2 linked regions of the Caenorhabditis elegans genome follow. The protein of the gene in region 2 interacts with the protein of the main gene of each other region in a pairwise test. Each region holds a gene or a part of one and is shown on either strand. Other genes may lie near its edges.

What was found.
Region 1: the proteins of fkh-6 (region 2) and F21A9.2 interact in a two-hybrid assay, tested with the Caenorhabditis elegans proteins (one large-scale study listed by BioGRID).

The regions. Positions count from the first base shown.
Region 1 is NC_003279.8:3,707,765-3,711,520, forward strand, and holds the start of F21A9.2 (C2H2-type domain-containing protein), read right to left. Parts: upstream 1,672-3,756; 5' UTR 1,457-1,671; coding exon 1,415-1,456; intron 1,018-1,414; coding exon 916-1,017; intron 728-915; coding exon 613-727; intron 455-612; coding exon 344-454; intron 298-343; coding exon 110-297; intron 64-109; coding exon 1-63. Other genes in the region: F21A9.1 (PRELI/MSF1 domain-containing protein), read left to right, coding at 3,254-3,304, 3,488-3,602.
Region 2 is NC_003280.10:4,381,331-4,385,086, reverse strand, and holds the start of fkh-6 (Forkhead transcription factor fkh-6), read left to right. Parts: upstream 1-1,680; 5' UTR 1,681-1,798; coding exon 1,799-1,836; intron 1,837-1,996; coding exon 1,997-2,105; intron 2,106-3,460; coding exon 3,461-3,672; intron 3,673-3,745; coding exon 3,746-3,756. Other genes in the region: B0286.1 (uncharacterized protein), read right to left, coding at 106-268, 1,405-1,464. UniProt on the Caenorhabditis elegans protein: Probable transcription factor. Binds to the DNA sequence motif 5'-[TA]TGTT[TG]T[TG][ATG]TT-3'.

The sequences.
Region 1 (3,756 bases), on a different chromosome or scaffold from region 2:
AATGAGCAAAGGATTTGAGTTGATTAATGCCGAATTTCGTCCAATAGTAACAGGACCCACTACCTAAAAGTTCAATTGAAATTAACAACTAGCTTTCAAACTGAGTTACCTGAAAGGGATTCTGCTGAAAGAGGTCATGAAACGCCATTGGCAACAAAATAACATTTTGTTGTTTTCGAGAATCCGCATTTTCAACTACATTTCCGAGTTTCTTCTTACTACAGTACAAATCTTCATGAACTTTCAAATTGTGAAGGGAGTTGAATTTTGCCACGTGACAGTGTGGACATTCGTGTTCTGAAATTTCGAAATGCAGTTCTTTTCGAAAAGCAAAAAAGCTCACTTTTCTCCAACTTTTCTTGCTCCAGACGATAGTTCATATCAGCGACAAGAATGGCTCGAAGTGGCTCCACGGTCGTCAGATTTTTTGTGAAAAGAATTGTGAACACGGGACCTGAAACATTGGCCTAGGTGAAGTTGAAATTTCAAAAAAGTCGTTTGGTGGACTAATTAGTGAAAGCTAGGCAGGACATGAATTGTCTTTGAGTGCAAAAATATCCGTTTGGGTGGCCTAGTTTTCAATTTCTAGGCCATGTCGTGTGGCTCGCATACCTGTCTGCATAATGACACAATTAGCTAGAAGTGGACCTTGGGCTGCTTGAATTCTCCGCGTCACTGGATTCGATTCCATCTCGAAACCCATCGATTCACCGGTGAAGTTGGAGAGCTGGAAATTAAGGAGGTTCTACGGTGCATTTGTGCGGGGAATATGGTGTATTGTGTCTGTCGAATCAGAAGAATTCAATGCGCCAAAAGTTACGCGCAAATTTGAGAACCCACCGGTAGTCAGAATCCAGTTTTGATCTACAGATATTGCGCCAACTTCTATAACTTACAGTATATGCTTTAACTTACAGTAATCCTCAACAGTTGTCCATTGCCGCTCACAGAATACGGTCCAACACAATCGCCACATCTAAACTCGATTGGTGCGGTCATAACTTGTTTTCGTATTGACTGCAAACTTTTGATGATAATTCAGTCCTCAATATTCAACAAAAAAAGTTTTACGCGATGTGTAAATTTAATTTTCTAATTTTTTTTGCGTTATTTTTGTAATTTTGAATTTATATTTATCATCATTTCCCTATTCATTAATCAATATTTTTGTTTGTCAAATGTAGCGTTTTGGGTCTCGCAACGCTTAATTCTTTTGAGTTTACTGTACTGTAATTTCACCTTTCATAAGAAAACCGATAATAAAAATAAGAACAAATCAAATTTCAACAAGTTGTCAGAAAAAGGTGCAAGATAACATTACTTATTAGAAGAGCACACCTTTTTGCATTTCACAAAAATTTGTAGTGTCGAGACCGGGTTTGAAGCAAAAATCAAAAAATCTACTGTAACTCACGCTAGCTATTGTATTATGCAGAATCGATTGGTTTACATCCATTGTATATAAATGAAGTGGCCGAATGAGAAAACGAAAGAAGAGGCTTCCGACGAAGAAAGATGGGCTCGAGTGAGCGATAAGATCTCAGGGACAACGCGGGGCGCAGAGCAAGTTGTGCGTGCTCCGGCACTCCGAGTCACACAGATTTTGATGATAAGGTGAAGAAGAAGAAGACAAAAGGAAGATTGGGAAGAGCAGATGAAGTGACTGAACAACTGAAATAGATTGAATCTCCGGTTGGAATGAATATTAGATTAGTAGAGATTTGAGAGGAAAAGTTGAGTAGTGAACATTGCGCGTGAAATGTGATGCATTGAGTTGGCAGGTGCTTTAAGAGCAAAATATGAAATTTTAATAGAGAAAATCTAATGTTTTAAACTTCTGAATATTGCTTTGTTTTTGAAATTAATTATTTATGAGAATCTCCAAAGTACTGTCAGATTGAAGCCTTTTACCTTAGTGCATAATTTGAGCTACGGTAATTATTTTTTTGCGTATTAAATGTGCTTACACTTCAACAGTTTAAAGGTACATAGATGTTTCTAGAATATTTTCATAGATGGCTGATTCAAAATTAAAAGCTCTATATAGTAAAGTAATATTATAACATTGACTTTTGCCTACCGAATATCTCAATTATCGCCGTCTTCCTTACTGATCATTATCTACCCCAATTTTTATCTTTAATCAGTTACCACAATCTCTTATCATCTGTGATTCAGTTTAACTATACATGTAGGGATGTTCCCAGTTGTCGACTGTAGACATTTCACTAGGTTGAGGCGTGACGGGGGCGCCTCTCTCTCTCTCTCTCTCTCTCTCTCTCTCTCTCTCTCTCTTCGCCCTTCTCGCGCCCTATCCGTGCAATTCACTTATATACACGCTATAGCTATACAGCGAACTTTATTTTCTTCTTCTACGGTTTCAAAGGCGCACGTATTTATGCGAAATGGTCTCACCACGCGTTACTCATTAATGTTTTTTTTTTTCAATCAATGGGTTGCGCGTAGCGAGGCCATTCCGCTTAAATACGCGTTTATTTTTTTATCAATATAATATCAATTGGAATTATTTTAAATGAAAGAGAAAAAACCCCAAAGCAGAGTTCAAAAGATGTTCGTGCACGATCGTGTAGCAGCAAATCGGCGGCCGAGTTTTTTCTTTCATTTCCGCGGCCGCACAATAATCATGACGGTTTTACTGCATGACCAAGAGAGAGAGAGAGAGAGAGAGAGAGAGAGAAAATCTCGGCCATCAAGGTTTTCATGCAAAATTCAAGTTATCGACAGTTTCCGAAACGCAAAAACATGTGCCAATTTTTTCTCAGAAAAAAACTCACGAAAAATCAGGATAGTGCATACTATAAAAAATAAAATACTGAAAGTATGTATTCTCACAGTTCTCTCTAAAAGCCGCCACGTGGCAATGTCAAAAATTCAAAAGTGCCACCGGTTTTTTTCGAATTAAAACTCAAAAAAGTGATAAAAATGTATTATTACTGATGAAAATGTGAGGAAGAGGAAAAAGAAAGTGAGCCTGTGTGATATTATCATATCAGTTGAATTGAATCAGTGGAGTATGTGCTGATAGGGTTTCTTATCAGTTTCAACTAAAAAAACTAAACGACACCGATTGATTGCAAAACATCAGCTGATTGCAGATGTATGACGTGGCAGGAGGCACTGAAAAGCAAAAAAAGGTTCAGGAAATGTAGGAAAAAGGAAAAGCGGTGATAAAACTATAAAATATGAGGTAACCGGAAACGGGACAGAAGGATTGTTCAGAGAGGGTTCTACAATGCATCTTTTCACCGAATTCCTACTATTTTTTGGGTTTTTCTTAAAAATCGTAAGTTAGGAAAGATTCTGTGTTAATTTTTTTCTTGTTAATCTTAAGGTAGATCCAGAAAAACTGGACAACATTTTTTTGGTGTTCATTACAGTACCCAAGAGCATTTTTTATTCCTCATAATCAGAAAGACACTTTGAATTTTTTTAAAAATGAACTCCAAAAAATATAGAAACCTTCCAGGAATCAGCACTAGAAAGCAGTTTTCCACTAAAAGTCCTTCCGTTGAAATTCGGGGAAAATCCAAAAAATCATGAAAGAGTGTACTACTCCGAGGAGAGTGTGATCAATATTTTTAGTAAGTTTGAGGTCCTACCACGAAGTTTTTTAAATGTTTAATTTACGTAATTCAACCATTTGAGATCATTTTGTAAAATTGACATCCCAATAAAAGAATGTTCCAATAAATTAAAAAAAAAACAAATTACAGTTATATTTGGTCACTATACAAA
Region 2 (3,756 bases):
AGCTTCTATTTTTGGGATTTTTTTTTAACACGTCCACGACAAATTTCAGATTTTTTCAGCTACAGTAACCCAAAGAAAAAAATAAATTTCCAGTCAAAATGTCACCTTTATTATCGCGATCCTGTGGATGCTTGTCCATTTGTTCTCTCTCCTCCAACTTTTTCACTTTTGCCTCTTCCAGTGTCTGCACCAATTCTCGTCCCAATAACAACTTTTGCGGGATGTGATGTTGAATGTTACCTCGATCGAAGAACAATGGTTCATCAGCCTGAAAATGGAGTAGTTAGTTGACCCTTATGACGGCTACTTTTTTCTCTCTTGTAGACTCATGTGAAAAGAAATACAGGGAGTAAGTAAAAATAGAAACAAGCAAGACCTTTGATCAAAAAGTTTGAAACAATTTGTTGATAAGAGAAAGTCAGACAGATAAGCAAAACAGTGGCAAATATTCAGGTGATTTATTTAAAGTGATATGTTTTCGTTTCAAATGGGAAAATATCTTGTGATTCTGAAACTACACAGAGAAAAATTGAAAGTGTGAAAAAATAGAACTATCTATGAAAAATATCCAATTTTGGAAATTGTTTGAATATTTGAAATTCTGATTATGTGGTGAATTATTTTAAACAACCATTTTTAAAATCACTTTCTTGAGGGAAATTATTATTGATAAAAATCTTTTTTTTTTCGAAAAAATCGAAAATTTTGCAATCAAAAATTTTCAAGTTTTCTAAATTTGTTTCTAAATTTTTCTGATGCTTTGGAAAATGGCTAGTTTTGTCTGAATTGACCGTTTTAGCATTAAAACAAATATTTCAAATTATTTTGGTCGATCCAGGCACTTCTATTCACTTTTCGAGGCTACAGAAAACAATGCCCAAAAATGTGGCTGGAAATTTAAAAAGTTAAAAAAATCCAGTTTTTAATGAAATTAAATTTAAATTAAAAAAAAAACGATACTTGTGGTTTATAATCATTAATTTTAAAACAAATTTGTTTTTCAGAAGTTTGAAAAAAAAAATTGGAAATCATTTTGATCTACTATTTTGCCAATTTTCCCTATTAGCCTTGCGCCGACATTGCTCCACTTTGACGACTTATGTCTTGGTTCACTTAGATTTTAACAAAAAATGATAAACTAATAAAATGTAGAGAATTATTTTGGGAGTACTTTGCCAGTTAATAATTTTTGATAAAATCAAAAAGAGCTGAGATATACGCTGTCAAAGTAAAGGAAAGTGCCTGGAAGTCTAGTAGAAAAAATACAATGAATGAAAGGTGACTAAAAGTCGCTGGAAAGTCAAAAAATATGGTCAAGTTAAGGATTAAAAAATCGCAAAATTTTCAGAATAATTCCAGATTACTGTAACGGGAGTACTGTGTACAACAAAAAGAAGCACAAACCTTCTGATTCCTGCTGAAATGTGCCGTCTCATTTTGCGAGTAATGCTCGATGGCTCCTCCCTGTAAAAAGTTGTGTGTAATTTTGTGTTGTAATACAAATATTCTCCAATCGTCGTCGTGTTCTCCCTTTCGATTTTTCGTTTATTTACAAAATATAAAAAGTAAGAGATGATCAGATTGGATGTTTCTGTTTCCCTTTTACCAGTGAATCAGCACCAGAAAATGTCAGGAGCACACAGGGGGGAGAAGGAGACAGTGTGCACAATCTTCTTCCATTTCTTTCCCTCCACCCACACCTCCGTCTTCACAGTTCCGAGACCCCGCCCTCACTCTTAGCTTCTGCATAATCCGTTGTCTCATTTGACACCCCCTACCATAAAAAAATACAATAATCATGACTCGCCATCAAACACATCTTCCATTTCATATTGTGTAAGTTATGTATTTATTTATTTTATTTATTTATTATTGTTTTTAGAGAGGGAGAGAGAGAGGGGAAACATATTTTCTTTTTCTTCTTCTCTAAATACAAAATCCCCGTTGCAAAATTCTGTTAGAGGCAAAGTTTTGAAAATAAAAGAGCTCTTTCCAGTCAAGAGGGAAATTCGATTGACAAGCCGCCATACAGTTACGTTGCACTTATTGCAATGGCAATCGATGCTTCGCCGGATAAGAGAATGACGTTGAATCAGATTTACAAGGTAACGGGAAGCTTTTCGATAACGTTTTTTTGGTATAGCGGTTTTGGAGGAATTATCATGAAAATTTTGCTAAAACTAAATACTTTTTTGCGGAAAAATACCATTTTAAAAACCCAAAACTGGTGCGGCAATTCAAATTTTGAAGAATTTTTGAGCAAATTTTTCACAATGTTAGCGGAATATTCCAGTTTTTTTTGGACGTCATATTGAGTATTAAAATATGTGCTAGAACTTTCAGTTATTCCTGCAAAAATAGATCTACGAAATTCAATTCCAAAACTTTAAAAATTACTTTTTTTCTGAGAATTTTTATCTCACTTTACACTAACTTCGAGGCTGCTGAAATTGTTCCAAATCCGATTTTTATCTTCTTTTAAGTTTTTCAGGTATAGGCAAACGTTTGAAAGATTTTTTTGTAAATTTCAATTATTTGAAAACTTGAATCATCGGAGTCTATTTAGTCATATAAAACTGATCAAGCCGAGCCATTTAATGAAACATTTTCTAGTTCAAAATGCTCCTTTGAAGCGAAAAATTTGGCGATCATCTTGTAATGACATATACTTCATTTAAAAATCCAGAAAAATATTCGTCACTTCTCCGGAGATTCTCCCTATATTTTTTGTACTTTAAATTGTTTTGAAATTACTAGAAAAGCCTCAAAATATCTGTTATTTTGGAGATTTTCTAACACGATTATATAGCAGTAAAATTAATCTGCTCCTTATTGCTACAAAAAAAACGAAATTCGAAAAAAAGTTCTTAAGGTTCTACATCATCTTTCCCATATCACATTTTCGTACAGTAAGTTTCATACATTGATATTTTTGTTGTGATATTCAGTTGGTTGCTTTTTTTTTCCACCTAGCCCTGCCCTACCGTAACCCTGTCACAAGTGATCTAGTAATGTTCAGTTCAATCTAACTCTGGAAAACCCAACTCACTAGCCAGCACATCTACCGTAACCCACCACTTCCACTCTTCCGTTTTGACTCATCAACCTTAATAGATCTGACTAATTTGGTGTGGGGGGCACCCTGTGCCTCTCCCATAACATTTACACAGTGAACAACTTTTCCTCTCTCCTACAAGTCAATAACAATGTCAATATATATATATATAGACCTTCTTCGTGTCAAGACCCAAAAACCTTAGTATTCAACTTTGACAGTTAATATCTCAGCTCTCGTTTGTCCTAAACAAAAATTGTCTACCAGCCAAATATTTTTTGGTTATTTTTCTATAGGTTTGTAGTTGATCATTCATTGATATCTTTATTATGAACCGAGATATAACCTTTCAAAGTATGTTAGTTTCCTATCAGGCGCAAACAAAACCGATGATGTGTGTTTCAGTTCATCGAGGCCAAATTCCCATATTACCGTGACGCGGACGCGAAACGAAAACAGGGATGGCAGAACAGTATTCGACACAATCTGTCACTCAACGACTGCTTTGTCAAAAAAGCACGAGACGGACAAAGCTGCGCGAACGACAGAAAGGGCAACTATTGGCAAATGGTGGCGGACAATGCGCCTCAGTTTGACAACGGCAACTTTAAGAGAAGGTATGGATAGTGACAAGAGGATTATTATTATTATACACTCGTGAAAAATGACTATTTGTTCATGTATTTACAGACGTGTCAAAA